2 linked regions of the Elephas maximus indicus genome follow. The main gene of each other region encodes a partner of the protein of the gene in region 2 in a complex. Links are inferred from orthologs where the notes say so. Each region holds a gene or a part of one and is shown on either strand. Other genes may lie near its edges. The genes, in order: GINS1 and GINS4.

What was found.
Region 1: the proteins of GINS4 (region 2) and GINS1 are in contact, whole or in part, in a crystal structure (PDB 2E9X), measured with the Homo sapiens proteins. The link is inferred for Elephas maximus indicus from reciprocal best matches to the Homo sapiens genes GINS4 and GINS1. Residues at the interface, in NP_115712.1 of Homo sapiens: Met55, Glu59, Glu83, Arg84, Arg86, Tyr87, Leu89, Ser90, Leu93, Arg94, Leu97, Glu101, Phe104, Glu125, Glu126, Phe129, Glu132, Phe133, Asn136, Thr137, Tyr140, Leu141, Val144, Ala145, Leu146, His148, Met149, Pro150, Pro151, Asn152; in NP_066545.3 of Homo sapiens: Phe24, Leu29, Leu33, Met36, Tyr40, Leu69, Leu70, Arg73, Thr76, Val77, Leu80, Tyr81, Leu84, Arg88, Trp92, Glu109, Glu110, Trp113, Asn116, Tyr117, Ser120, Leu121, Tyr124, Ser127, Leu128, Gly129, Gly130, Asp131, Leu134, Ile136.

The regions. Positions count from the first base shown.
Region 1 is NC_064843.1:68,354,453-68,370,211, forward strand, and holds the start of GINS1 (DNA replication complex GINS protein PSF1), read left to right. Parts: upstream 1-8,292; 5' UTR 8,293-8,509; coding exon 8,510-8,584; intron 8,585-13,369; exon of another isoform or gene 13,370-13,383; coding exon 13,384-13,448; intron 13,449-15,759. Other genes in the region: lysophosphatidylserine lipase ABHD12, read right to left, coding at 4,587-4,777. UniProt on the Homo sapiens protein: Required for correct functioning of the GINS complex, a complex that plays an essential role in the initiation of DNA replication, and progression of DNA replication forks.
Region 2 is NC_064840.1:58,954,758-58,970,865, reverse strand, and holds the start of GINS4 (DNA replication complex GINS protein SLD5), read left to right. Parts: upstream 1-7,611; 5' UTR 7,612-7,822; exon of another isoform or gene 7,823-7,977; intron 7,978-8,625; 5' UTR 8,626-8,641; coding exon 8,642-8,737; intron 8,738-11,604; coding exon 11,605-11,691; intron 11,692-12,512; coding exon 12,513-12,626; intron 12,627-15,974; coding exon 15,975-16,072; intron 16,073-16,108. UniProt on the Homo sapiens protein: Required for correct functioning of the GINS complex, a complex that plays an essential role in the initiation of DNA replication, and progression of DNA replication forks.

The sequences.
Region 1 (15,759 bases), on a different chromosome or scaffold from region 2:
ATACTAAATAGAATCTGGTTACACAACAGAGTTCACCTCAAGACTACTATGATGATTCAATAATAGAAAATATATTTCTATAACTCAGCACATTAGCAGATCAAGGAAGAAAATCTATACGATCGTTACACAGATGCTAAAATGGCATTTGATAAAATTCAACAACCATTTTTTTATTTTAAAAACCCCAGAACATCAGCAACACGCCCGTTAGTAAAATAATCAGCATGGCACTTAATGACAAAAATACTACAAGCGTTCTCATGAAAGCTGGGGATAAGAACTTTGCTCTTAAAATACAATGCACTTGGAAAGGAGAAAGAAATGAGACATAAAAATCGGAAACCAAGGGACAAACTTCTTATTTGCAGCTGACATGATAACGTACCTGGAAAATCCAAGAAAATTCACCAGAAAAACTATTAGAAACAATAGCATAAATAAGGTGCTGGTTACAAAATTAATAATACAACTAAGAAGAATATGTAGTATAAGAAAGGATTCAATTTTCGGTAACAAAAAAGATAAAATAACCACGAATAAACTTTTAAGAAACGTGCAGGGTTTCCAAACAAACCAACTGCGAGAAGACATTTCTGAGACAATTGAGGAAATCTGTATGTGGACTGGATAGCATGTAACAATAAATTACTGTTAATCTTGATAAATATGATATCACTGGGGTTATGTACATTTTGAAAAGTCCTAATTTGTTGGAGATACACAGTGCAGTATTTATGCATACAATGATTTGTTTTAAAATACTCCAGTCCTCTACCCTACAAAAAAATGGATGGGATGAGGGATAGTTGCTTCAGATTGGCAAAATATTGGTATCTGTTGAAACTAAGCAATGGATACACGGGAGTTCATTATATTATTTTCCTTACGTTTATACATTAGAAAATATCCACAATGAAAAGTTTTAAAAAATGTGCAAGGACTAAAACAAAACCCATAGGGTTTGCAAGGAGCAGCTGGTGGATTCGAACTGTCGACCTTTTGGTTAGTGGCCAAGCCCTTAACCACTGTGCCACCAGGGCTCCTTTGGACCAAAACACAAAGGGGCATAAAAGACATAATAACTATAAAAAGCAATAAGCTTATAAAAACACACCAAAAAATGCTGCCTAATAATTAAGACAGGAGCTCTGGTGGCTCAAAGGTTAACTGCTTGGCTGCTAACCCGAAAGGTCAGTGGTTGGAACCCACCAGCATCTCTGAAGGAGAAAAGCTATGGCTGTCTGCTGCCATAAAGATTACAGCCTAGGAAATACTACGGGGGCAGCTCTACTCTATCCTGTAAGGTCACTAACAACAACAATTAAGAGATGCAAATTAAAGCTACAAACCAGATGCCATTTTTCACCAGACAGGCAAAGATCAAAATATCTGGTAATGTACAGTGCTGGTTGAGAGTGTGTGTGTGTGCGTGTGTGAAGACACCTTACATTGTTGGTGGGAATACAAATTAGTACAACTTCTTTTGAGGGTGATTTGACTTTATCTTTCAAAGTTATAATACATACACCCCTTGGTCCAGCAATTCCACTTTCAGGATAGCTACAGATATTCATCCAACAAGTATTTTCTGCTACCCACCATGTGCCAGGCACTGAAAATAGGATGGTTAAGGAAACAATGTTCCTGCTGCGGGGTGGGTTAGAAACCATCAACCTTTCAGTTAGCAGAGTGCTTAACCATTGCACTCCAGAGCCCCGTACCCCATAAGACTATAGCCTAGGGAACCCTATGGGGCACTTCTACTCTGTCACATGGGGTTGCTGTGAGTCAGAACCAACTCGACAGCCCCTAACAACGGACCACTTTAGAAAGGGACAAGAGGCAGGGGTGGTGGAGCTTTAACTTCTTTGTGATATTTTTGAGCAAAATGAAATTTTTTTTAATTGGGAAAAAAATTGATAATAGCAACTTGAAAGATTATATAGGAACCTTAGTGCGCAGTGAGTTTATGTTAATGAGGGAGGAACAGCTCAGAAAAGGAGGGTGAGAATGGCTGAATGTAATCAGTGTTACTAAATTGTACATGTAGAAACTGTGGAATTGATATGTTCTGCTGTGTATATTCTCAACAACAATAACAAAATATACAAAATTCAGAAAAAAGAAACCTTTGAAAAAAGAGAAAACAATGTTCCTGCCCTCATGGAGCTTCCCCTTTAGTGCAGAAAGAGATGGTCAATAAAACAAGTCAACAAATGCACCTGTAATTATAATATCGGGTCAGTGATAAGTGCAATGAAGAAAAAAGTTAACAGAACAAAGGGGTTGAGAGGAAGGAGAAGGCTATTTTGGAAGACTGGTCCCAGAAGATCTCTTGGAGGAGACGGATGAGCAGAGGCCTGAATGAAGAAGATAAAGCATGAGAATGCTGGAGAGAATGTTCCAGGCAGTAGGAAAGGAAACCAGGAATAAGAAACAAATTTGGCCTTTCCTTTGTTTTTCTTTTCATTCCCCTAACAGCCTTTTGTTCATCCAAAGGATAGGTATGGGCACCACTTAAATCTCTCTCTTCGACTCCTCACATGAAAATTGAAATTAATCAGATGCTTTTAATACAAGAAGGTGCTAGTTCAGCATTGTTTCCCCCAAACCTTTCTGTGCACAACAATTTGATTTCTTCAATGGATGGATTTCTAATTTTATCGAAGGGCTATGCCAAACCTGTTAACAAAAGTGCATTAAAGCTAAATTATGAGTTTTTAATGCACATAAACATTTCCACAGCAAAGAATACAAATTAGTTTTACAAAAGATATTGACCAGTTGCTAAGTCATTTTACACACACACACATAGTCCTGTCCTTCTGGCAGAACTGAGTCATCAATTTGGAGGGTTCTATAAAAAACAAATTTTTTTCTTTTTTATAGTTTAATTTCAAGATCTTTTAAGCAATGCAGTTGAAATTCTGGTCTTCTTTAGGGGCTATTTGGATAAATATTTTATAGTGAAGTGGCCAATGTCAATTAAAGGCATTCTAGTTGACCTCAACAGAAATGCCTTTGCCACAAGACCTGTTAACACTACACACTAACTTCTTCAAACAATACCAAGAAACATCAAGGCTCCAAAATTGCCATAAATGATACATTCTACAAACAGCCAAGTAATTAAAGGACCAGTAAGCGAGGAGAGAAATTTGACCCTGTGAAGTATGCTCCTATCTCAATTTGGAAGCCAGCGTTACATAAATTCATTCATCCCAGTGGGAAAAGGCAAACGACCGAAGGGCTCCAAGACTCTGGTGGGTCCCTTCTTGGCGGGTCTCACTCATCGGGGCTGCCTTTAAGGGCCAGCAGCCCCCTGCACATCACACGACAGGTTTCCCTCCAACAGCTGCAGATGCCGTACACCCCACCTTTCCCTGGGCGCCGCGGGCCACTTAACCGCTCCCCAAAGGTCCGGCATTTCCGAGCAACGAATGCCATTCCTGACAGCTAGTCACCCGGAGAGGACAAGGATCGCCGAAGTGAGAATCGGGGCCCTGGGGAGCTTCCGCACACGCAATCCGGGTAGGGGGGTCAGGTTAGAGGGGCGCCGGCTGACCCCCGGCTTGGGTCCGGTTAGAGGGGCGCCGGCTGACCCCCGGCTTGGGTCCGGTTAGGGGGGCGCCGGCTGATCCCCGGCTTGGGTCCGGTTAGAGGGGCGCCGGTTGACACCCGGCTTGGGTCCGGTTAGAGGGGCGCCGGCCGACCCCCGGCTTGGGTCCGCTTAGGGGGGCGCCAGCTGACCCCCGGCTTGGGTCCGGTTAGAGGGGCGCCGGCTGACCCCCGGCTTGGGTCCGGTTAGAGGAATCGGGCTAAGGGGGCGCCGGCCGACCCCCAGCTTGGGTCCGGTTAGAGGGATCGGGCTAAGGGGGCGCCGGCCGACCCCCGGCTTGGGTCCGGTTAGAGGGGCCCCGGCTGACCCCCGGCTTGGGTCCGGTTAGGGGGCGCCGGTTGACCCCCGGCTTGGGTCCGGTTAGAGAAATCGGGCTAAGGGGGCGCCGGCCGACCCCCGGCTTGGGTCCGGTTAGAGGGGCGCCGGCCGACCCCCGGCTTGGGTCCGGTTAGGGGGGCGCCGGCTGACCCCCGGCTTGGATCCGGTTAGAGGGGCGCCGGTTGACCCCCGGCTTGGGTCCGGTTAGGGGGGCGCCGGCCGACCCCCGGCTTGGGTCCTGAGCAGAGGACGAGGCGCAGACGCGCTCCAGCACTCGGGGTCCCCAGCCCCTCCGCGCCTCGCCCCCGGCCCTCCCTTCCCCTCCCGCGCAGGGTCGTCACTTCCCGGCCGCTCCGACCCCGCCGCCGAAGGGGCCCCCGCGGGCTCGCCGCGGAGAGCGGGCGCGCAGGGACCGAGGGCCGCGGGGCACCGGGGTCGATGCGGAGCGCGGCTCTCGGCAGGTAACTCGGAGGCCTCGGGGCCGCCCTTGCCGGCCGGGGGAAGAAGGCGCCCGGAGACGGGTCGGGGAGGACACCGGGGACAGGGCCCAGGCGCGGGGCGCTCCGGCGGGCAGGCAGCCGGGGGAGGGCTCGGGAGCTACCTGCCGGCCAGGTGGGGCCCCGCCCCGCCCTGCGCAGCGCCTCACCTGCCCAGAGCCCGCTTCATGCCCGCGTCGGCCGCGCACCGCGGCTCGGCCGCCCCCGCGCCCGGCAGACGCAGGTTCTGCTTCAGGCGGCAGTCGGCGTCCAGCGCCGCGGGGGCGGAGGCTGAGGAGGACGAGCCCGCGGCGACGGAGCGCTCATGCTCCAAGGCGACGGGCCCGGCCCGCTTCCTCATGCCGCGGCCGACAGGGCCGGCCGCCGAGGGCGCCAGCTGGCCTCGTCCGCCCGCCTGCGCCGCTCCCGCTGCAGTCCCCGCCGCCCGGAGCCGGAGCCGGAGCCGGAGCCGGAGCCGCCGCCGCCGCCGCCGCCGCCGCCGCCGCCGCCGCCGCCGCCGCCGCCGCCGCCGCCGCCGCCGCCGCCGCCGGGAGCCCCTCACATCTCGGCCGAGGCCGCGGCGCGCGACAACGGACTACACCCGGGACGGCGGGTCACGCCGACCAATCAGCGCCGGGATCCCTCCCCCGCTTCCCGCCCCCAGCGTTCCGCGTCCGGAGTCCCGCGGGGAGCGCGGCCCGCCCCGCCAGCCGGGAGCCATCTTGGGGAAGGGCGGGCGAAGCCGAGGCTAGCGTCATCGTAAGGGCAAGGCCGAGCGGCCCGCAAGCCTGGCTGGGCCTGGGCGCGGACTCCGCCGGAGTTGAGCAGCTGCGGCACTGTCGCGCCCCAGGGCGCCAGCCGGAAGGCGAGCACTGGGGAGGAGTGGCCACAAGGGGCCGCTCTTCCGCTCGCATCCAACGCTGGAAACCCGGCCCAAGTGAATTCTGGGAATGTTCTTATAAACCTCACAATTCTGCTAGTTGGGGGTGGGGGTGGGGGCGGGGGCGGGGGTGGGGATGGGGGTGGGGGCGGCTAACACATATTTCTCTGCCTCTGGGAATGGTAACTCCATCCTTGCATTACCTCAGGCCAAAACCTTGAGGTCATCAGTGATTTTTCCTTTCTAATGCCACAGTGGGAGCCTCTGGGTGCTGCAAACCATTAAGGTGTCACTGCTACCCCAAAGGCTGGAGGTTTATGTCCACCCAGAGGTGCCTCAGAAGAAAGGCCTGGCGATTTACATCTGAAAACTCAGCCACTGAAAACCCTACAGAGCACAGGTCTACTCTGACACACATGGGGGGTTGCGTGAGTCGGAGTTGACTGACAGCAGCTGGTGGGCCACAGCATGTTGCCTTTCAGCTCCACCTTCAAAATCAGTCTAGGACCCAATCACTGCTCACTACCTCCACCATCTCTCACCTGGATTACTTTAATGGCCTAGCTGGTCTCCTTTGCCCGGCTTCAGTTGACTTAGACACCACAGAGGTCTTTTTAAAAAAAGTTTTTTAAACCTAGGTCAGAGCCTGTCACCGTCAAAACACTTTAATGGCTCCCCATCTCACACAAAATAAAACCGAAAGTTTATGCAATGGCCTAAGGGCCTGTCTGATATGGCCTCCATCTTCTCCTTACTCACCCTGCACAGGAAGCACTGCCGCCTCGTATGCCTTGCACACAGGCCACCCAAATTCCCCCCCTCACACTTCTGCACTTGGCATTGTTGCTGCCAAGAATTCTCTGCACTTCCCACTGCCATGTGTCCACATTGCTCCCTCCCTCCCATCTTTCAGGTTTGTGTCTTCTCTGAGCACTTTAACTCAAAACCCTCAGACCCCCGCACCATCACTCTGTTCTCCTTCTTTGGCTCATTCTTCATAGCACATATCACCAATATATCCGTCAAGAATATATCTGTGTATTGCTGTTTTCCCACACTAGAACATATACCAAAGATTTTGTTCACTGCTTTGCTCATTGTCTACAACAACGCTGATACATCTAAGTCAAACCAAACCATTGCTGTCGAGTTGATTCCAACTCATAGCAACCCTATGAAAGTTAATATTTGCTGAGGGAAATGATTGAATCACACAATCCCAGAGGTTGTGATCCCTGTAAAATGATCCCCTTTTACAGGTAAGGAAGTGAGTCTCAGGGACATTGAAGGGCTTTACCTAGGGGCCTAATGAAAAATATTTATACTGTAGCAGAAAAGCCTGTGAATAGCTGGTCTTTGGGCCACAATCCTGCAGGACATTCCAATGTAGAATTCTGTATTTGACTAAAAAGGAAAAAGAAAAATTTGGCTAAGTTATCCCTTACTGTAAAGCTGAAATGTCACTCTGCATAAGGATGAGATTCTGAGGCTTTGTTTTTAAAGCAGGCCTTTCCCTTACCCATACCTCAGATCAGATATCTACTGTACCTGTATTTGGAAAAGAGCAACATAGTCTCTAGGGTTAGCTAGAATTAATCTGAGTAATATTGCTCTTTAAAAAATAGCCCAATTAGACCCATCGTTTCTATAGCAATGACTTCTACCTTTGATTCTATGTGGTTATGAGATTTTCCATAGATTACCTAGTCAAGATAACACATGAATTCCTATTAATCTTAAAAAAAGAAAGAAAGAAAAAGCCTTGCCATTGAATGAATTCCAATTCATAGTGAGGCTACAGGGCAGAGTAGAACTTCCTCACAGGGTTTCAGGGCTGCAGTCTTCATGGAAGCCAACTGTCACATCTTCCTCCCTGATGGCAGCTGGTGGGCTTAAACTGGTTCACACTGCAGACCTGTTGACTGGCAACCCAGAGCATATCCACTGCGCCACCAGGGCTCCCCCATTCATCTAGGGCATCCCCCCCCGCCCAGGCCTGGTGAGGGACAGTTCTACTGGGTCGTGTACGGTCGCTGTTAAGTCAGAATCAACTAAACAGCAATTTGTTTTCTTTTGGTTTTGGTAGACCTGATGACAAGGTATACTTTACAAACATTTTAAATGAGTGCTTAAAAATCAAAAAGGTGGTACAGTGGAGTTGAAAGTGAAAAACTTTAGTTCAGAGTCTATCACTTTAGCAGCTGTTTCCTAGGCAGTATCATGAGTCTAAATAACCAGTTTTATGGATAATCGTTAGAAGTCCACGAAGTATACATCGACTGAGGACGTACCCAGTAAAAGTCGTTTTTCCTTTGCTATCAAACAAACAATAACACTGCAAAACTAAACAAAGGAAATGCCGAACATAGTATTAATGCACACCGTTTCTGGGACTTTCCGTCTCCGAGCGCCCCTTTGAACCTTAACAAAAATGAAAGCGTCAGGTGGGGAAAAAAAGCAAGCTGCGGGACGTGCATTTATCCGAAGCTGCCCGGCCCGCCACATCGCAACTCAAAAGCCGTCTCCGCTTAGCGAAGGCTTCACACCGCCACCCACCGACTCCTTCCCGGACGCCGGGTCCCCAGCCGGAAGGACCCCCCCGACCGGAAGGGACCCCCCGGCCGGAAGGGACCCCTCTCCCGGAAAGGGCCCCCCCCGCCCGGAAGGGGCCCCCCAGCCGGCAGGGGCGCCCGCCCGGAAGGGGCCCCCCGCCCGCAGGGGCCCCCGCCCGGAAGAGGCCCCCCAGCCGGCAGGAGCCCCCGCCCGGAAGGGGCCCCCGCCCGGAAGGGGCCCCCCGGCCGGAAGGGACCCCTCTCCCGGAAAGGGCCCCCCCCGCCCGGAAGGGGCCCCCCAGCCGGCAGGGGCCCCCGCCCGGAAGGGGCCCCCCGCCCGCAGGGGCCCCCCGCCCGGAAGAGGCCCCCCAGCCGGCAGGAGCCCCCGCCCGGAAGGGGCCCCCGCCCTCGCTCCCGCCCCCCGGTAGTACGCCTGCGCAGCGGAGGCGACGGTCCCTCTTCAGCCGCCATTGGCCGCCGGAGTCAGGAGCACGTCCCCATTGGTTGGGTGGGTTTAGCGCCAAAACGCGGACCGGTTGCGAAGTTGAGGGGCGGGAGCCCAGAGAAGGGAAACGGTAGGGGTAAAGGTGCTGAGGGTCCGGCGACCCTTCGGCGTGAGAACGGACGGTTGACGAGGCCGTGGGGCAGGGGTGCATCCGCCATGTTCTGTGAAAAGGCCATGGAGCTGGTCCGCGAGCTGCGCCACACGCCGGAAGGGCAGCTGCCCGCTTTTAATGTGAGAGGGGGAGGGAAGGGCGGAACAGAGGCGAATGGGGCCTGTCGAGGGGGCGGGGCTGAGGAGGTGTCCTGGGGTGGAGGGGGCCGGTGGGCGGGGTCTGGGCCGGCGGGGGGGGGCCCTGGGCCGGCGGCCGGGGCCTAGGCCGGCGGGGGGCGGGGCCTGGGCCGGCGGGGGGCGGGCCCTGGGCCGGCGTGGAGGGGGGGTCCTGGGCCGGCGGCCGGGGCCGGGGCCGGCGGGGGGCGGGCCCTGTGCCGGCGGGGGGCGGGGTCTGGGCCGGCGGGGGCGGGGTCTGGGCCGGTGGCCGGGGCGGCTTTCCCGCCGTTTTACCTACGCTTTTCCTGGAGGCTTTACTTTCCCACCGTTCCAGTTCCAAGGTCGGAAACGAGATTTGGGCCGCGGCAGGACAGAATATAGAAGAAGAAGGCATTGGCTTATGTTTCTCGGGGATTTGAGTTTTTCATATGACTGTATCTCCTTTAGTGTTTTTCCATTTATAGCTTTGTTGTTGCTCCTTCGTTTAAACAAAACATGTAATGGTTGCCTGATAAATTAGCATTTTTTGGCGCACGCAGGTAGCAAAGTTTAGTGGTTAAAAGGTAGGGCTCTGAAGCCAGGCTGAGATTCTGGCTCTGTTGGGTCACTTTGGACTAGTTACTTGAGCGTTCTGAGCGCTCAATTTTCTCATCTGCAAAAATGGGGACGATCTAATAATACACAGTTCACGTTGTTGTTAGGTGCGGTGGCGTCGGTTCCGACTCATAGCCACCGCAAGTACAAGAGAACCATGCATAGGACAGAAGGAAACACTGCCTGGTCCTGCGCCAGCCTCGTAATCGTTATCTTTGAGCTCTTGTTGCAGCCACTGTGTCAGTCCATCTCGTTGAGGGTCTTCTCTCTTTCGCTGACATCCTCCAAACATGTCCAGAGTATGTGAGATGAAGTCCTGGTGTAGTGTACAGTGAGGGTTACATGAGTTGGTCCTCTGAACGATTCCTGGCACACAGTGAGGACTGAGTCACTGTGTGCTGTTTCTACTAGTACTGCTATTGTTACTACTATTACTATTATTATTTTTCTATTATGAGAACTTCAAGCCAGGAACAGTGCTAAGCACTTAGCCTTCATTGTCTCTCCTTTGAGGTTTAAGCTGTTGCTTTCCTTTTTTTCCAGGCATAAAGGGAGACTTGAGATTAAGTAACTTGCTGGTGATGACAGTCCATAAGGGATTGTTTTAGTCATCCAGTGCTGCTGTAACAAATACCACAAGTCGACGGTTTTAACAAAGAGAAGTTTATTTTCTCACAGTAAAGTAGGCTAAAAGTCCAAATTAAGGGTATAAGCTCCAGGGGAAAGCTTTCTCTCTCTGTTGGCCTTCTCATCAGTCTTTCCCCAGACTAGGAGCTTCTTCGTGCAGGGACCCTGGGTCCAAAGGATGCGCTCTGCTCCTGGCACTGCTTTCTCGGTGGTATGAGGTCATAGTCCCTGTCCTTTTCCCCTTCCCTTCTCCCCTCCCATCTCTCTGCTCACTTCCCTTTTTTATATCAAGAGATTGCCTTAAGACACAGTCCAATCTTGTAGGCTGAGTCCTGCCTCACTAACACAACTGCTGCCCATCTTCCCTCATTAACGTCACAGGGGCAGGATTTACAACATATAGGAAAATCACACAATACCAGGAATCATGGCCCAGCCCAATTGAAAAACACATTTTGGGGGGGACATAATTCAATCTGTGACAAGGATAGAGCTAGAATTTGAACCTTGGTAGTCTTGCTCCAGAGCCTGCACTTTAAATGATATAGTAGACTATCATGGGGCAGCCACTGTGTATATGTCAGGAAGAGGAGCAGGAAAACAGGTGAATAGAATGCAGCTTGGTAAGCGAAAGCACAGAGTGTAGACCAGGAAGATAAAGGAGAAAGGCCATTGTGAGTTGGAGCATGGGGCTTGAGGGGCATCTGAGCCATGCCTGGAAGGATGAGTCCCCTGAGAAGGCAATGAGTTTTGTTTTGAAAATTAAAGAGCACCTAATCCTACAACTAGGTCATTTTACGGAACAAGAAACTCAGCCAAGAAAAACTGTGGGTCAAGTTAAGAGATCTGTCTGAACTCAGGGCACTTTGGAAGCCTTTGAATACAGGTTTCCTAGGTTCCAGTGTATTGTTCTTTCAATTCAGAACAGTTAAACAAAGAACAGTTAGCTCATTTAAAAAGTTAGGAGACAGCAGTGGCAAGTTTATTAGAGATTTTGGAAGGTAGCAGGTATGTAGGTGCAAAAATATGGCTCCACACTGGGGTTGGAGACTTTAGGGGTCATGGTACACGTGAGGACACAGACCCACAGAGACAGAGTCCCTTGTCCACACAGGGTTGGCCTTGGAACCCAGGTCTTTTCACCCTGAGTTTAGCACTATTTTCCACTGAAAAAGTATTTTACGATAGCTCTGTTGGTTTACCACTAAGACCTTTGGGGGACCAGAGGTGGGTCTTAAGCAAACCAAAACTAAACCCGTTGCTGTCAAGTCAATTCTGATTCATAGCAACCCTGTAGGACAAGAGCAGAACTGCCCCATCGGGTTTTCAAGGCTGTAGTTAGTCTTTACTTAAGCAGACTGCCACATCTTTCTCCTGCAGAGCATCTGGTGGGTTCTAACTATTGACCTTTAGGTTAGCATCTGAGCACTTTAACCACTGTGCCACCAGGACTTCTCTTGGAACTGTCAACCGTTTGGCTAGCCAAACTCTTAACTACCGTGCCACTAGAGGTGGGACTTAGAAGTTATAGAATTAATCCTTCTTTTAGGTCTTAGTTTGGTGGAGCACCTTTTGTCTCATTAGTGCCTTCCACTGATGAGCCCATTTGGTTGTCAGGTGAGTCAAGAGCCTGGGAGACTCACCTGTGAGGGTGGGCCAGTCTCACACACAACTGCAGCAGAAGATGGAAAACTGATCTGAGGGTGAATAGGCCTACCACCCATGCAGGCAGCTGGTACCCTGGGGTGTGGGGGCACAGGTCAGCCTTATCCACTCCAGAATATCTCGTGGTTAGTTGCTGTCTTGGTCATCTAGTGCTGCTGTTACAGAAATACCACAAGTAGATGGTTTTGACAAAGAGAAGTTTATTCTCTCCCAGCCCAGTAAGCTAGAAGTCCGAATTCAGGACACCGGGTACAGGGGAACGCTTTCTCTCTTTGTCAACTCTGGAGGAAGGTCCCTGTCATCAGCCTTTCCTTGGTCTGGGAGCATCTCAGCGCAGGAAGCTCAGGTCCAAAGGAGGTGCTCTGCTCCGGGCACTGCTTTCTTGGTCGTATGAGGTTCCCAACTCTCTGCTTACTTCCCTTTCCTTTTGTCTCTCAAGAGATAAAAGGTGGTGTAGGCCACATCCCAGGGAAACTCACTTTATTTTGGATCAGGGTTGTGACCTGGTAAGGGTGTTACAATCACCCTAATCCTCATTAACATAAAATTACAATCACAAAATGGAAGACAACCACAGAATACTGGGAATCATGGCCTAACCAAGTTAATATACACATATTTTGGGGGACGTAATTCAATCCATGACAGTTGCTATGCTCAGTAAGCTGAAATGATGACCCACTTTCTACATCCAGAACTGTGGTAGATTTCTCTAGGAAAATCAAGTTAGGCTCCTAGGGGCTTACAGCCTAAGGTAGGGGCACAGAACTGATATGAGTCCCACTAGAGATGAAAATTTAAACCTGAAAGTTTGTGTATATTTTATGAAACCACTTCTGTTTAGATTTTTATATGTCTGCAGATCTATTAATCACACAAGAGTTTTTATTTAAAACAGTACTTGCTAAACAAGGGGAATATTTACGGTGGTGTAGTGGTTTTTTTTTTTTTTTTTAGTGGTTAAGTGCTATGGCTGCTAATCAAAAGGTAGGCAGTTCAGATCCACCAGGTGCTGCTTGGAAACTCTGTGGGGTAGTTCTACTCTGTCCTGTGGGGTCGCTATGAGTCAGACTTGACTCGACAGCAAAAGGTAATAAATCATGGCCTTTTTTAAGTTGTGCTTCATTCACCAGGAATGGTATCTTTCCTTGTATTTGAGCAGCGTTCAGCAGTTGATATTTGTAATTATACCAGTAGTGCCAAAACATTTTTGCTAATGAGTATATTTTGGCCCTGAAAGTACACGGGGTCACTTCTGTTCAGACGGAGCCCGGGTAGTGCAGTGGTTAAAAGCTGACGGCTAACAAAAATGTGGACCTTTCAAATCCACCAGCCGTTCCTTGGAAACTCTGTGGGGCAGTTCTGCTCTGTCTTGTGGGGTCTCTTATGAGTAGGAAACAACAGGATGGCAACGGATTTGGTTTGGTTTTAAGATCGTTGACAAACCTATTGTTTAACATTTATGACTTTCAGGATTCTAAAATTTTATCTTTACAAGGGAAAAAATTTTTGCCTCAAGGTGGATAGTAGGAAAAACTTCTTTGACCTTTCTGTTCTTCTTGCAGTACAAACCAAAACACTGTTCCTTTTTTTTTCTTTCTTTATTTTTTTTGGGGGGGGGGTGTAGTAACCTTTTAAGACCTTTTTTTTTTTTTTTTTAGTTAATAATAAAATATTTATGTGCTTTTGTCGTGCTTGATTGTCTCTGTAAGGCTATTGATTTTCGCTGAGATACATAAATACGAATTTGAATCGACTTGATGGCAATGGGTTTGGGTTTTTTTTTAATATATAAATCAAGGATAAATATAGTACAGATACAAATGGCTTTGGGGAATTAATGAAGTTTTATATCAATATCAGTTTATATATTCTAGGAGGATGGACTCAGACAAATTCTGGAGGAGATGAAAGCTTTATATGAACAAAACCAGTCTGATGTGTAAGTTTTGATAAGATTGATATTTTAAAACAGTTTAAGAAGTAAGGTACTGAATCAGATAACCTTGTATCATATTTTTTGTTTGTTTTTAATTCTCTACGTACCTGATCATATTCTAGCTATACGAATTAGCACAGAACTAATTTGGTCATTGTTGTATTCACATAGTGGATGCTCAATATGTATTTGTTGTTTGATATGACTTGACAGGAATTATGGCAGACTTGAAAGAGATGAGCCTTGAGCAAATTAAAAACCCTAACAAAGTGGAATATGGACATCGTTTTCACTGTCTTCATTAATAGATGCCTCCAGGGCTCCTAACAGATGCTTTAATGCATTTGGTAAAGGGAGTAGGGCAGCATGTTAACATTGAGGAGCAGCAGTGATTTCTGGGAGCTTGAGTCGAGTTTGCGGAGAACTAGTGCTGCAAAAGGCCATAACTCAAGAGGGCTCTGGACTTAGTAAGAGCCGAGCATGGTATTTGGCACAATGGAGAATTTGGGCTATAAGACAAATCAATACGCTCCTATGACTTGGTGAAAAGTACCAATGAAAGAGTACCAGTTAATGGATCAAAGTTGAGGTTTTCAGGACCTCAACCTAAAGAGAAGTCGACTCTGTGACGTGTGGTTTCATCTTTGGCCTTGTTAGATACAATGTTTTTATCAGTTTCTTGGATATGAAAATCAGTGGCATGCTGGTAAGATTTGTAGAACACAAAACCTAGGCACATTTCCAACTACTAAGGACAGATAGAGAAAAATCTTTACAAACAGAATGAGCAAGTACACCGTACAGGTTCTGACCCTTGCAGTAAATGTAAGATAAATGTCCTGAAATATGGTCCCCAAGCCATTCATTCATTCATTCAACCAACACATATTTATTAAACAATTACGTGCCAATAAGTGGCTCTGGTACGCAACGCAATCAAGATTTCTGCCCTCATGGCACTCAGTCTAATGGGGAAGACACGTACTAAATACAAATACACACACAGAAAAACTAGTTACAATTGGAATATGTGCTGTGAAGGAAAACAACAGAGTGATGTGAGAGAATAACAAATGGAAGACACAGTTTAGACTGGACTAGGAGCCTCTCCATGCAGGAACCTTGAGTCCAAAGGATTTTATCTTCTCCTGGCTCTTGTTTCCTGGTGGTATGAGGTGCCACTATCTCTCTGTTTATTTCTCTTTTTTATATCTCAAAAGAGATTGGCTTAAGACACAACCTAATCTTATAGATCTCATTAACATAACTGTCCCTAATCCATCTCATTAACATCACGGTGACAGGATTTACAACACATAGGAAAATCACAGCAGATGACAAAATGGCAGACAATCACACAATACTGGGAATCATGGCCTAGCCAAGTTGATACACATAGTTTTGGAGGACACAGTTCAATCCATGACAGACTGAAAGGCAGGAAAGTTCTCTCCAGGGAAGCGATGTTTTCAGCGGAGGCCTGAGAAGACGCAGGTTTGAGCGAGGCAGTAGTTATGGGGAGAGAGCATTCTGGGCAGAGGGAACAGGTCTGCCACAGCCTTGAATCATGAGGGAGGACAGGATGCTCACGAAACTGACGCCAGAGGAAGGCCAGTGTGGCTGGAGCTTAGCAGGTGGGCACAAGTGACATTAGAGGAGATTTTTAAGTTTGTGGGATGGGCAGTGTCCCATCATGTTTTAGGTCATCCTCGCTGCCATGTGGACTGGGGCTAAGAGTAGAGGGAGGCACACTGGTCAGGAGATGGTCGGCATCACCCAAGTGGTAGAAGATTGGCCTGCACTAGATAGTGGCAGTGAGAAGGTAAAGAGTGAACGGATGAAAGAAATATTTCAGGGGTAGCAAAGCAGGCCTTGGCCCTGGGGGTGGGGAAAGAAAGAATGATTTTCCTGTATTTGTACCATTTGCAAATTCATGATTCAAAATTCTGTCCCTCATCCTCTTGGTGTCTTTTCTGGGAAAACAATCACTGTTAGCAATTTCTGGTTAAAGTTATTTGTGAGAACAAATGTTTTCCTTCTAAATTACCCATGTGTAAATGTGATTTTTTTTTAGGACATTCTTACGTACTTAACAAAGTACTTGGTGTTAGGTGGGTGTATTTTATGTGTACAACGTGGAGTATAAGTCTGACTGTCACAGGGTGGCAGAACAGAGCTAGAAGACGCACCTGGATGGGTGTGCGTTTTGCCTCTACTTTCAGGGTTTAGTACCTGGAATGAAGCATGGATGAATCCTTTTCGTATTCATCCAGTTGCTTTAAAAACTCCAAAGTAGATTCTTATTCATTCTGTG
Region 2 (16,108 bases):
CCACAACACGCGTTTGTCAATATAAATTGTTCTTAGGTGCTGTCCAGTGGGTTCCGACTCATAGTAACCCCACGTACAACAGATCGAAACACTGCCTGGTCCTGCGTCATCCTCACAATTGTTGCTATATTCCAGTCCTTTGTTGCAGCCACTGTGTCAATCCATTTTGTTGATGGTCTTCCTCTCTTTCTCTGACCCTCTACTTTACCATGCATGATGTCCTTCTCCAGGGACTGGCCCCTTCTAATAACATGTCCAAAGTACATAAGATGAAATCTTGCCATGCTTACTTCTAAGGAGTAACCTGGCTGTATTTCTTCCAAGACAGATTTGTTCATTCTTCTGGCAGTCCATGGTATATTCAATATTCTTCGACAACACCATAATCCAAAGGCATCAATTCTTCGGTCTTTTTAATTCAATGTCCAGCTTTCACAGGCATACAAGCCGACTGAAAATACCATGGCTTGAGTCAGGCACACCTTAGTCTTCAAGGTGATATCTTTCCTTTTTAACACTTCAAAGAGGTCTTTTGTAGCAGATTTGCCCTATGCAATATGTCGTTTGATTTCTTAACTACTGCTTCCACGGGCCTTGATTGTGGATTCAAGTAAAATTAAATCCTTGACAACTTCAATATTTTTCTCTGTTTATCATGATGTTGCTTATTGGTCCATTTGTTAAGATTCAATATAAATTATTGGTGTGCACAATATTTTAGGGTGTGGCACTATAAATGACCATACCCTAAATATTATGCATACTAGTTGACATCTTCAGTATCTCGAAGGGCTTTGGTAATTTGGACACAATACTCAACGCTCCCCTGGGATTTCACCCAAGTCTCCAGTTTCAAGTCTCCAATTTCAATTTCCCTTAAATCTCCAGGTCTATGTACATCTTAGGTCTCAATGATCCTCAAAAGACACTAGTCTCTGAGCTCTGCTACTTCTAATTATACCCGAAAAAGTGAAAAAATAAAAGGAATGGCTTTTCCTGCTTACAAGTATATATGCAGCCTAGTAGCAGCATATAGCCAAGGGTAAAGTTCAGGGTCAAGCTGAATTTCTCACTTAAAATAAACATGCCTAAGACGAAGCAAAGAGAGGATGACTGGGAAACTTTATGATTTCACTTCTTCACAAACAAGGAAAACTCCAAAGTGATTTCAGCCTTCACAAAGCTCCATGGGTCATACTTAAATCTTAACTGATTCTAACAAGTTTGCAACTCAGAATGATGGCTTCTTACAGTAAGACCAGCTCTGAGAGACCAAATGACCCAAGGCTTCTGGTTCATGTTTCAAAAAATACCAACTTCAGGGTACATTGAACACAATCGCATGACCACTTTCCAGTATTTTCAGCTGAAAGTATTCTCATAACTGAACTGAACATCAACTGAAAAATCTTATGCTTTCTATCATTTGGAGAGATATGCTAAAAATGGAATTTTTACATTATCTATTTTGAGCTAATTTAATAATAAAATTCTCAGATAATCGTTTGTGACAAGGAATATAATTAGTCATCCCATCCTCCTGCCTTCTGATAGACAGAAGGTGAATTTTAACTCAGTTAAGATGTTTACTTTCACCAGTGAGAAATCTGTAAGAATTGTTTAAAACAAGAAACCTAGACATAATTCCAGGGAGTTTGTAAGATGTCACGAATTTAAAATTTCACTTTTTTTCCCTATATTAACCCAGGTGTCTTATTCTTTATTATGTAAAGTTTTGACAACTCAGAAGATATATAATTTATAGATGCTCCATGTATAGATGAAAATAATAATGGTAATAATTGCAATGTAATACCATCTCTGTAACTCTAATTAAAAAATATGAAACTAAGAAAAATTTAAATACATGTTACTGTATTTTTTTCAGCTCAGGGTAACCATTTATACACATAAATGAATCTGAACTGTATTCTAAGAGTTGTTCTCACAGGGGACATCTTATCGAAAATGTCTCCACCCTCAACATTCTCTACCCTTTACCCAGCTTTATTTTTCTTCATCGCATTTATCACCACCTGCTATTTATAACAGGATATATGTGTCTAGCCCACTACCATAAAGTCAATATCGACTCAATAGCAACCCCATAGGACAGAGTGGAACTGCCCCATAGGGTTTCCAAAGAGCAGCTGGTGGATTTGACCTGCTGGCCTTTTGGTTAGCAGTCATAGCTCTTAACCACTACACCACCAGGGTTTCCATGTGTTACCTAGTCACTGCTTTAACCTTAATACCTATGTTACCCCTGGAACAGTAAATACTCAAGAAATCGTTGTTCAATGAAGAAATAAATGAATGAATGAATACTAGGCTTGGGGGATACCCTCAGAGAATTCAAAGTCTAAAAGGAGAAATAGAGACGTTAAAATTGCAAGATAATGTAATACATGTCATACCAGGATATTAGATGCTATAAACCATTCCAAACCCATTGCCATTGCCTCAATTCCAACTCATAGCGACCCTATAGGACAGAGCAGAACTGCCCCATAGGGTTTCTAAGGACAGCTGGTGGATTCGAACTGCAGACCTTTTTGGTTAGCAGCCAAGCTCTTATCCACTATGCCGCCAGGGCTCCATATGGTATAGTGGTGGCCTAAAGAGGGGATAGATGTGTTAGGGATGGTTTCACAGAGGAAGGGATATTTCAGCTGGGTCTTCACGGATGAATAGAATTTCATCGGGTAGTAAATGGAGAGAAACTCAGAACGAGGCAACAGCATGTGTGCAGAAAGGAGACAAAATCCTTCGTATCCATAAGTAATCTGACATAACTAGAGCCAAGAGGGTGCAAGGAAAAAAGCCCTGAGCGACAAGAAAGTCAGCAGCATCTACTTTTCTCAGTGACTAAAATCACACCAGCACCCCAATATCCTCCCTATATTTCTTGAGGATATTTTTACTCCATCTCCCAACAGATCGGTTTAGTATAGTTTTTCAAAGTCTAAAGGCAAAGAGATACCAGCCTAGAGGAGTTCTGATCACTACTCCCCAAGGAAAAGTTAAAGAATGTAAGTTAGTAACTCTCTGGGATGAGGAAATATATCACCTTACTATTCCTTGAGGAGGTATCAGAGTTTGACAGGTATCAATGCTCTGCTTCCTTATTGACAATGTTACTACAAACAGGGAGATGTCATCTACAGAGTCTTTGCCCAGACTTGTAAAGACTTTGTTAGAGCCGGTATTTGAAGCCAGATGCTTTGTTTCCTGGGTAAGTATTCTTTTCAGAAGATATGTGTACCCCTTCATAGGAAAACTGATTCTTTTTTGTTATTCCTAAGGTTAATTCTGTAGTCATGAGAAAAAATATCCTCCAGCCTCGAGAAAACAAAAGGCACAGGTGGAGGTAGGGCTTATTTGTCTGTGCCAGAAACTTGAGCTATGTTAAGACCTAACTGATGGTAGGAAACCCTGGTGGAATAGTGGTTAAGAGCTCAGTTCACATCATTTTCCTACAAAGGAACAGGCAGAAAAAATAAAGAACATAGCAGTAAAAGTTTGTACAGGCTTTTTAGTTTAGATAATGCTACAAAATTACCTAATTCAGCTCTGTCTCTTAAAAGTCTTTAAATTGTGGTTTCAGAACTCGGAAAAGCTGAGCTTTGAAAAGTTTATATCCTCGTTGGGGAGCCTGTATAGGTTCATTTAACATGACTGAAATCAAGACAAGATGAGAGTAAGGGGTGTAGGATCTAGAGTCTAGACAAAAGCAAGGAATTAGGGATATCATGAATTGTCAAGATTTCACATCTGTCAGAGAGATCCAAGCCTGGCCCTGGTTTCCTGACCCTTCCAGTATCCCTGCTGTACAGGAAGATATTAGGTTTTAATTATTGGCCAGAAAAATATTCACAAATTCCGTAGCCAATAGCTTTGCTCCTTCCTGCCTTCCTTAAACATGCAAGCTGCCCCCTTACTCTCCTATCCTTAATCCAGATCTTCATTCTTTCGAAAAAACCAAGGGTTAAACTTTGGTAACACTCCCCAAACTCATTGTCTTTGTTCTTAGCTGGTGAGACCAAGAAGGTGATGGTGTTCAGAGGAAGGAAACAGTGAAAAACAGCTGTTGACCAAATAATCTAGGGCAGTGATGATGTGAAAACAATAACAAAACCAAATCCGTTGCCATCGAGTCAATTCCGACTCATAGAGACTCTATAGGACAGAGTAGAATTGCTCCATAGGGTTTCCAAGGAGCCCCTGGTGGATTTGAACTGCAGACTTTTGGTTAGCAGCCAAGCTCTTAACCACTACACCACCAGGGTTTCCATGTAAACAATAATGATGGTAAAAAAACAAGCCAAACCAGTTGCCATCAAGTCAATACCAACTCATGGTGGCCCCATATATGTCAGAGTTGAACTTTTCCCGGCTGTGATCTTTTGGAAGCAGATCACCAGGCCTTTCTTCCAAGGCACCTCTGGGTGGGTTCAAACTGCCAAGCTTTGGGTTAGTAGCTATGCACTTAACTGTCTGCACCACCCAGAACTCACAATAATGATGGCTCACAGCAATGATGGTATTACCTTGTATTTAGAAAGCACCATTCTCCCAAAAGCCTCACAATACTGTAAAGCTATTTTTATTTTGTATTTTATCTTCAGTGATTTAAAAAGAAAAGAATAGCTTCATTCTTATTAATGTATATTCTTATTAACGTAAATTTCTGTAGTTATCTACAGGAAGCATCAAAAGAAGATGGAAGGAATACACAGAGTCACTGTACCAAAAAGAATTGGTCGACATTCAACCATTTCAGGAGGTAGCATATGATCAGGAACTGATGGTACTAAAGGAAGAAGTCCAAGCTGCTCTGAAGGCATTGGCGAAAAACAAGGCTCCAGGATTGATGGAATATCAATTGAGATGTTTCAACAAACAGATGCAACGCTGGAGGTGCTCACTCGTCTATGCCGAGAAATATGGAAGACAGCTTCCTGGCCAACTGGCTGGAAGAGATCCATATTTATGCCTCTTCCCAAGAAAGGTGATCCGACCGAATGCAGAAATTATCGAACAATATCACTAATATCACACGCAAGTAAAATTGTGCTGAAGGTCATTCAAACCTGCCTGCAGTTTATGTCAACAGAGAACGGCCAGAAGTTCGAGCCAGATTCAGAAGAGGGCATGAAACCAGAGATATCGTTGCTTACATCAGATGGATCCTGGCTGAAAGCAGAAAATACCAGAAAGATGTTTACCTGTGTTTTATTGATTGTGCAAAGGTATATGACTGTGTGGATTATTACAAATTATGGATAACATTATGAAGAATGGGAATTACAAAACACTTAATTGTGCTCATGTGGAATCTGTACATAGATCAAGAGGCAGTTGTTTGAACAGAACAAGGGGATACCGCGTGGTTTTAAGTCCAGAAAGGTTTGCATCAGAGTCGTATCCTTTCACCATACCAATTCAATCTGTATGCTGAGCAAAATAATCTGAGAAGCTGGACTATATAAAGAAGAATGGGGCATCAGGATTAGAGGAAGACTCGTTAACAACCTGCGTTATGCAGATGACACAAACTTGCTTGCTGAAAGTGAAGAGGACTTGAAGCACTTACTGATGAAGATCAACGACCACAGTCCTCAGTATGGATTACAGCTCAACATAAAGAAAACAAAAATCTTCACAACTGGACGAATAAGCAACATCATGATAAATGGAGAAAAGATTGAGGTTGTCAAGGATTTCATTTTACTTGGATCCACAATCAATGCCCATGGAAGCAGAGCTAAGAATCGAATGACACATTGCACTGGGCAAATCTGCTGCAAAAGACCTCTTTAAAGTGTTGAAAAAGAAAGATATCGCCTTGAAGAATAAGAGACACCTGACCCAAGCCATGGCGTTTACAATCACCTCATATGCATGCGAAAGCTAGACAATGAATAAGGAAGACCAAAGAAGATTTGACGCCTTTGAATTGTGGTGTTGGCAAAGAATATTGAATATACCATGGACTGCCAAAAGAATGAACAGATCTGTCTTAGAGGAAGTACAACCAGAATGCTCTTTAGATGCAAAGATGGCGAGGCCATGTCTCACATACTTTGGACATGTTATCAAGAGGGATCAGTCCCTGGAGAAGGACATCATGCTTGGTAAAATAGAGGGTCAGCAAAGAACAGGAAGACCCTCAATGAGATGGATTGACACAGTAGCTGCAACAATGGGCTCAAGCATAACAACAATCATGAGGATGGTGAAGGATCGGGCAGTGTTTCGTTGTGTTGTACATAGGGTTGCTATGAGTCAGAACCGACTTGATGGCACTAATAACAACATTTGCTATGACTGTAACCGCGGTTATTTTCTTCATTCAGCAATATTCGCAAGTTGTGTCGACAGGTCTTTTTATTCATTTGTGTAGAATTCTATTTTCTGTATCCTCTTCAACTTTGGGCCGTAGCTTTTTCCTTCGTATGCCATATTTCTAACTTCATGTTTTACTTGTCTGAAAATCAAGTTAGCGTGGTCACCTTGCTCTTTTAATCATCAGAACATTCTACAAATTCTGTACTCAAGTTTTATGTATCACCATCAAATGTCACTCTCTTGCTATCATAACCTACGTAATTATTTTTTATAACATGACTGTTTTAATGAATAGCATTCCATTTATATGGCTGTGTAATCATTTCTAAAAAAAAGAAAACTTCTTAATGGTGGGTGAAAATCAAGCAGGTATTTCCGATTTTTCTCTTCAGTCTAAATAATGTAACTTAAGACATGTCTTTCCTTCCTTCAGCAATTCTGTGCTGCATCCCCCAAGTAGCTTTATACATTCTTTTTTGACATCTCCTTAAAATACTCTTTTTTTTCACATGGCAAACTCATTTTTTCTAAAGTGTTTTTGTCTGGTGAATATTAGTTAGAATCAAAGATTGTAGAAGTGAAAGGGATCCCCCAAATAATTTTTGACCTATCTCTCTGTCTTCAGGCAAACAAATATGATTCACGTCACAGGTGGTGCAACCGAAGCTCAGAGAAGTGACTTGTTCAAGGTCACACCTTTACTAAGTAAGGAAACTGAGGCTGGCCTCCATCTCCCAGATGGACAAACAGGGAAAGATTGGAGAAGACAGTTGGCACCAGAAAAGGGAAGTCAGTGTCTGCATCAGTAAAATAAGTAACTGGTACTTCTGTGTAGATGTTATTTGTGCCAGATTAAATGCAGGGAATACCTGGACTCAAGTCTATAATACTCAAGGATATTTTTCACAAATCTGCAATCGGGGCAGGGTTCACCCGAGACAGCTCGTCTCTGATCCCCTCCACGCGAGCTGGAGCGGCTTGAAGCTGACTGAGGGCTCTACCATCTGAAGACTCATTCAGGCGATTCACGCTGGTGGCCGGAAGGCAGACGCCGCCGGATCTCCTCAGCCGCGGTGGCGCGGCGCCCCCTCGCGACCGGACTCCCGTCACCTCCATTCTCGAGACTGACGCGAGACTGAACCTCCGCGACGCAAGTCTCCGCCCCTTTAGGGAGGGCGGGGCAAGAAGGCTGCTGGTTCCGCCCCCGGGCCGTGATTGGTTAGCGTCGTCCGTGCGTGGGGACGTAAACTGGGCGGAAAGGGTCCGAGAGAAGCGCGGGAGCTGAAAAGCCGCGAGTGGGGAACGTCCGGGAAAGGCTTCGTAGGAATTGGCCTGTTTACCCTCCGTTTCCAGTTCGTCCTTGGGAGGGCCCGGGCTGCTTCCCAGCGAGCTTCGTCCTTGCCGTCTGCTACCTCGGAGTGCCTCTGCCTCCCAGCACCTCGCGTGAGCACCCACGTGGGACCTCTGTACTGTGTGTGTGCGCGCGCGCGCCCGCGAATGTTTGGGGGAATGGGTGGTCTGTGTTGGTGCCAGCGAAAGAGGAGATGGGCAGGAGGAATTTGCTCAGCTTCCCTGAGGTTCTGGGGACATACCCTCGTCCCCCAACCCACCGCACAACTTCCTAAGGTAGTTTGGTGTCTGCTGTCAAGCCCTGTGCTGAGCGCTGGGTCCACACAGATAATGTATCTCCAGCACTTAGAAGTGCCAGGCTCTGAGCAATGCGGGATTCATATTTGAACTGAAATGAATACAGTCCCTGATGAAAAGGAGCTATACTGGGAAGCCAATTAAAGGAATAATCATTATATGGTGTGATAGGTGCAGAATTCGAAGTGTACGTAGTGAAAACAGATGTAAGGGGGCACCTCTTTGAGAACTTGATACCTGACCTAAACCTTGAAGGAAGAAACAAAGAATTGAAAAATCAGAGTCTGTAAATGATGTAGCCACTGCCAATGAACCTGACAACCCCACATGAAACTTTCCTTCACTGTATGTATAATTGTCTATTTTTGTAAATAGAGCCCTGGTGGCGCAGTGGTTCGGAGCTCGGCTGCTAATCAAAAGGTTGGCAGCTGGAACCCCCCAGCCCCATGGGAGAGAAAGATGTGGCAACCTGCTTCTGTAAAGATTACAGCCTTGGAAACCCTAGGGGGCAGTACTACTCTGTCCCTATTGGGTCACTATGACTCGGAATCAACGTGAAGGCAGTGGGTATTCTTGTAAATATATGGGAAACATATTGCAGGATATTGACTCTTTTATTTTCATTAGGTTCCTGGTTTCAGAAATGACAGAGGAACTGAATCTTATGGAACAGGACTCTGATGGAGGTAGTGATGAGGTGGTCCTTACTCCTGCAGAGCTCATTGAAAGGCTGGAGGAGGTAAGCATCCCAAACAGAATCCCCTAGCTCCAATCCAACTGGGCAAATTTGAGGAATCAGAAAATGAAGAAATAGAATTCAAGGTTTATTTCAAGAGAAATAGGAAGTAGGGGGCCATAGTCTACTGGAGACCTTGTAACATCAAACACAATTCTTAAGTGGTATCAGAAAGGAACAGTTTTGGATTCATTTAATAGCATGGTTCACTAGTATTTACATTTAAGGTTCTACTTGTATTTGTGAGGGCTGCAGAGGTGTTGTGGGGATTTGTCGGTTCTGTATGTTGTTGTTGTTGTTGTTAGGTGCCGTTGAGTCGGTTCCGACTCATAGCAACCCTATGCACAACAGAACGAAACACTGCCCGGTCGTGCGCCATCCTTACAATCGTTGTTATGCTTGAGCCCATTGTTGCAGCCACTATGTCAGTCCACTTCGTTGAGGGTCTTCCTCTTTTCCACTGACCCTGTACTCTGCCAAACATGATGTCCTTCTTCAGGGACTGTACCTTAGTCTCTTGAAATAACTGATGTTTCTCTGGAGAATGTCGGGTTAACAAGAAAGTGCTGAAACATGTTGAGGAGAAAACTGGCCTATTCTTCCTTTTCCTCTCATATACTTTGAGTCAGATGTTGTCTTTATTTCCACTGCTTACCTAAAATTTCTGGGCTACTTCTTCCTTTCAAACCAAACTTGTTGCCGTCGAGTCAATTCCGACTGATAGCAACCCTGTAGGACAGAGTAAAACTGCCCCGTAGGGTTTCCAAGGCTGTAAATCTCTACAGAAGCAGACTGCCACATCTTTCTTTTGCAGAGCAGCTAGTGGGTTTGAATCGCTGACCTTTTAGTTAGCAGCCTAGCACTTAACCACTGCACCACCAGGGCTCCTGAGAGATGCACAGGGACCTCTGAAATAATGATAATATTCTGTAACTAAGTTGTGCACACACAGGTGTTTGTATCATCGTTCTCGTGGTTAATATGTACCTCATATTCTTTTGTAGCTGTTCAGTATTTAATAACACCAATTAAAAAGAAAAACTGCTTTTTAAGTTCTCCGTGATAATTTGATCTTTTCTCATTAATTAAGCTACTTAAAAATATAGGTTGTCTTCCAGGTTAATTTTATACATCTGCAATAATTTGATGGATACGGATATTATCTAATTGTTTAACTTTGAGTTGCCTGATTACTAATGAGATTAAATATTTTCTCTTCATGCCTATTAGATCTTTTAGTTTCCTCCCTGTGGCATGCCATTATATATCCTTTGCCAAATGTTCCAAAGAGTTTTTTTCCTTTTCTAATTGATGAGTTGTGGTAGTCCTTTGTTGTTTTGATTGTGACCCTTTACAATATATGTTGCGATATTTTTCCCAATCTGTTTGTATTGTTTGTCATACAGTCATTTAAAATTATGATATTGTCGAATTCATCAAAATTTTCTTCATGTAACATTTTATGTTCTGTTTAAGAAGACCATCCCTACAAAAAAAAAATCAAAAAGTATTCTTTAATATTTTGTTCTCCTGTATTTAGAGTTAGGGTTTTAGTGCAGTGATTAAGAGCTCAGCTGCTAACCAAAAGGTCACCAGTTCAAATCTACCAGCTACTCCTTGGAAACCCTATGGGGCAGTTCTACTCTGTCCTGTAGGGCCGCTATGAGTCGGAATTGACTCAACAGCAACAGGTTTTTGGTTTGGTTGCAATAGTATTACAGAAGCTAACCAAAAAACCCACTGCCGTCAAGTCAATTCCGATTCATAGCGACCCTATAGGACAGAGTAGAACTGCCCCGTAGAGTTTCCAAGGAGTGCCTGGCGGATTCAAACTGCAAACCTCTTGGTTGACAGCCGTAGCACTTAACCACTATGCCGCCAGGGTTTCCACAGAAGCTAAAGCACTTGAAAAAATTTTTATGGTAGTAACAATAACAATAGCCAGTATTTAATAAGGTGTCTTGATAGGGATAATTGAAGAAACAGAGACTCAAGGAAACCAAAAGAAATAGATGGAGCTTGATGAGCATGTAATTCTGACCTATGCTAAAACTAAATTTTCTGTAATGGAAAGATAAGTATAGTTTTCCTTAGTTTCCTGTGGCTACTTCAGTTCTCTAAGCCTTGGAAGTTTCTAGAATGTACCAAGCAGTTAGGCCTGAGTCATAAACTAGGGATTTAACCTCTTGTCCCAAAACTGTTTAATAGATGAATATCCACTTCCATTGTGATCTTTTAAATTCTTGGGCTTTTAGTGTATTACTTAAATCTCTTTTTTCTCATCAATACTATATCCATTTCCTCTCAGAGATACTACGATGGTGAATGAAAAAGTGTGTTTAAAATGCTTGGAGCTTCAGGAATGAAGAGATGTGTAGATTTGTTTAAAGTGTTAACTTCATCTCTCAAAATGGAAATGGTGTTAACTTCATCTCTCAAAATAGAAATGGTGCTGGTGCCCCCTAGTGGGAAATAGCCTGTGAAAAAATGGGAAAAAAAAAGTGTTAATGCTACTCGGTAAAAGGTACTGTTTGAATACTAGGGAGTGTTACTGTCAGCAATAGGTATTATACTTTAACATTTTTGAAGTAATAGTGATTTTTTTTTTTTTTAATCTTGGTCGAATATAAGGTTGTGAACACAGCCTTCTCACTAAAAAAAGAAATGGAAAAGCCGTCATTGAACAGCTTGTCTTCAAAGCATTTTCAAGTGGTAGGCAAACTAGTTTTCTTTGCCTGAGAGATCTGTGATTTTCATGGGGTGCTATGAGTCGGAATCGACTCGACGGCACTGGGGTTTGTCCGGGATACTAACCCAAGGGGTTATTTCTCCTCCATTGTGAGTGATGCTTTTTTTTTTTTTTTTTTTAGGCCTGGATGAATGAAAAGTTTGCCCCAGAGCTGCTGGAAAGCAAGTCTGAAATTGTAGAATGTGTCATAGAGCAGCTAGATCACATGGTAAGAGCTGCTTGTCTCAGGGTTACAAAGGAAGAGAAAGTTAAAAGGGTTTGGTCAGCATAATGAGAAGTTGTGGTATGACGACAAATCTGTTTTGTTTGGCCCAGCCCAGTATTTTTTAAAATACTGAAATGGTTGCCAACATTTACAAAGCATGAGAGCTCCCATAAGAATCTGGGTATCAGCTTCCCATGAAAAATCTGAAGACCCAGCATCACTGGCCCCACATTTCTACAAAGAACAGTCGACCAGAGCAGGCTAAGAGCCACTCCTTTCTGTGTGCTTCCCTGTTCCCCACACCCGCTAACTACCCACCTTTCTCATATACCTTTCCTGCCTGGCCCTCGTAGTCATTTGAGTTTGTGATCCTTGGCTTAGGTGATCTGGGTGTAAATAATTATCAGCATTAAAATTTTTGACATTTTACAGTGTCTTAACTGGTGTTTTAACTCTGCTTTTCAGACCCCTTAGACATTTTCTTCTGTGTGCTGTATCACCACCTTTACAATTGGGTTAGCATCCTGGGCCCTCCTGACTGACCACATTCAGATTCTATTTGCGCAGTCATTTTCTAAAAGTAGATAAATATTGTTTACGTTTTGTATAGTGAGACTTTAGGCTCATGTTTTTCGTGTAATTAAAATTAAAACTAAAATGAGAGCTCTTATGACTTTTAGTTTTGGTTCACCTTTGAAATGTAGTCTTTGGGTCCTAAACATTGCCAATGATGGTGGTCCTTGTGGGCTATACATAGATTGAACAAAAAAGATTCTTAGTCTTGAAAAATCATGATTTTTATACTTGGATTTCTCCTTTAATAGGAAGAAAATCTCAGGAGAGCCAAAAAGGGGGATCTGAAGGTCAGCATCCACCGAATGGAGATGGAAAGGATCCGCTATGTCCTTAGCAGCTACTTGCGGTGTCGGCTCAGGAAGGTTTGTCATGGAGATAACTGTAGGCATTACAGCAATGCAGTCTCTGATACATGCTGAGAGCTCTGAGGAGGAGAAGTCGGGCTGGGGCCTGGGAGAGTCTAGGGCCTGAAAATACTGCGGAGCCTCCGCTCTCAGAGGGCGGGAGATTGTTCTAGAGAGGCCTAGCTGGAACATCTGTTGCACCACTCTGAGGGTAACACACGGGGTTTTATTGTATTTATCTGCTATGTATGGTGCCCCCTGGGGTTACAACGTAGTAGTCCTGAGGCAGAGTTGTCGACAGTGATTGACTAGAGAATACTGAGAGGAGAACTAGTTTTAAAAATTGTTTTCTATCTGTCAGACAGTCAGTGTCAAACAGACCATGCTAATTTGACATATAGAAAAAGGAAATTTGCAAAACATTCTTAATTTGTATGATGTGTGTTCTAACCCTGGCAAGTTCTTGAAGTTTCTTCTCATTGGGTTCCACCTGTCCCCTTAGGTATTATAAAACTAACAGAGTGCTGCAGGTATCTGAAGACAGCTAACACGTCTCATTTAAGTCTTCTCTCAGCTACACATTCCAACCATTTAAATCAAACTTACTCTCTTGCTGTTTTTTCTAAAACAGTTCTAGTTTGTCAGTATCCTTCTTAAATTGTGCCATTTGGAACCGAATACAATATACCAGTTGTGGTTTGGCCTTTTTTGTAAAAAACAGGATGATCATTTCCCTTATTCTGGATATTAAACTGGTAGTAATACCACCCAATATCACATTAGTTTTTTGACAGGCACATCTTACTAAACTCATCCTGTGCTTATTATTAACTCTAACCCTTGCTGATGTTTTAAGTTATTACCCCATCCTATCACCATCCTGTATTTGTATGGCTTGGTTTTTTCCTCCTAAATATAGAGCTTATTACTTACTGTGGTCTCCATGTCTTGATTTTGTTACCTAATATATTAGCTGTCTCTCTCTCTTTTTTTTTATTATGGTGAAATATATGTATATAACAAAACATGTCAACATTTTTACATGTACAATTCAGTGACATTAAATAAAAACAAAACCAAACCCATTGCCATCAAGTCGATTCCGACTCATAGTGACCCTATAGGACAAAGTAGAACTGCCCCATAGGGTTTCCAAGGAGCACCTGGTGGATTCAGACTGCCAGCCTTTTGGTTAGCAGCTGTCTTGGTCATGTAGTGCTGCAAATTCTGACTTAGTCATCTAATGCTGCTCTAACAGAAATACCACAAGTGGATGGCCTTAACAAAAATTTATTCTGTCACAGTCTAACAGGCCAGAAGTCCAAATTCAGTGCGTCAGCTCCACAGGAAGGCTCTCTCCCTCTGTCGGCTCTGGAGGAAGGTCTCTGTCATCAATCCTCCCCTGGTCTAGGGGCCTTTCCACTGAGGAACCTCGGTCCAAAGGACGTGCCTTGCCCCTGGCACCACTCTCTTGGCAGCATGAGGTCTCCCTGTCTCTCTGCTGTCCTCTCTTCTGTATTTCAAAAGAGATTGGCTCAAGACACAACCCAATCCTGTAGATTGAGTCCTGCTTCATCAACGTAACTGCCTCTAATCCCATCTCATCAACATCATAGAGATAGAATTTACAACACCTAGGAAAATCACATCAGATGATAAAATGGTGGACAGTCACACAACGCTGGGAATCATGGCCTAGCCAAGCCGACAGGCATTTTTGGGTGATAAAATTCGGTCCATGACAGCAGCCAAGCTCATAACCACTGTGCTACCAGGACTCCTCAGTGACTTTAATTGCATTAAATTAGCTATCTCAACACTTTGTCATCAGCAGCTTTGATAAGTATGCCATCAAAGCTCTTACTGATTGATTACTAGGACTGGGCCAGTGACAGATTATTCCATCAGAGATTTTCCTCCAGATGACAGCCATTCATTGAATCAATATTCTTTATTCAACTGTTTATGAATCTCCCAGTATAAGCTGTCACCCAGCCCCAGGTTTACAGTTTGCCCACAAGGTATCATAAAGACTTTATCAGATGTTTTGAGAAAATTGAGATACACAGTATACACCTGTACCCAACACCCCCAAACAACAAGCCACGCAGTTTTGTTTTCTTTTGATTGGGTAAATCCTCTTCATGTTAATCACTGCCTTTTCTTTGAGTTCACAACCATCTTTTAAATTATGTATTCTAATATATGACCCCATGTCAATGTTAAGGACTCTAGTCTGTATTTGAATATTCCCCACCTTTCCATTTTTGAAATTTTTGAAAATCAGGAAATGTGCCCATCTTTAGTCTTTCACACTCTTCCTGAGCTCAGTAATTCTTCCAAGGTAATGAAACTACATAGGCTTTTAGTACACTAAACAATATAGGATTAGGAGCAATTTACATATGATAGGAGAAAGCTTTAGAAACTTAAACTTCATATAAATACTAATTTAATTTATCCAGGAATATAATTGATCCTAGAAGACTTAAACTCCATTAAAACAGACTAAATGTCCTTTATTCGGCCTTAGGCTCCTCCTTAACCACTGTCATTTCCATACTTGTAAAGAACATTTTTTGAAAGCGATACCCATGACACCATTCACTCCAGGCCAGTCCCTTCCTGGTTCCTGACAACATTCCTTTTCTGTAGCTCTTTTACTGACAGGACACCTTTTTGTAGCTTTTAGCATTTTTTTCATAGTTCTTTACATTTTGTCCAAGCCTCACCTCATTCCGGGCTTTGTCCTTAATGAATGTTTTCTTATAATTCAGTGTCACTATTCTATGTTTTTATTCTATGTACTGGAGTGCTGGTGGCACAGTAGTTTAGTGTTTGGCTGCTAACCAAAAGGTCAGCAGTTTGAACCCACCGGCTGCTCCTTGAAACCCTATGGGGCAGTTCTACTATGTCTATAGGGTCGCTATGAGTCAGAATTGGCTCAAGGGCAATGGTTTGTTTTTTTTTAATTCCATGTGCTGGTGTATTCTGTGTGTCCTTCTAGCTTTTGTATATATTTCAGCTCAAAGAAGAACACCCTGTATAATTATGTAAGTTTTTTAACTGATATCCCTTTCTATCCCTCTTAACTATCATTTACAACTGTTCGCAGATTTTCTCTTTTGAAAGCCTCCATCCCTTTTAAATTGTCTTCTCTACTAGAGCCCTTATCTTATCTGTGAATTCTTGGAAACCTGCCTCCTTGAGGTCCAGAATGTAGGTCTTATTATTAGAAAGAGTTTTGGCCACTAAGACTTCCCATGTTTGAAGTCAATTTTTAGATTAACCTCAACATCTTTTGGAAGATGTTTGACGCTTGAATTTTGACAATGTTTTAATGATGACTTTTACTTATCCTCACAGATAGAGAAGTTTTTCCCTCATATCCTTGAAAAGGAGAAAACACGCTCTGACAGGGAGCCTTCCTGCCTTTCTCCAGAAGAGTTTGCCTTTGCAAGAGAGTGAGTAAGCCTCAAGTATGGAAATGGCCTTTCCTT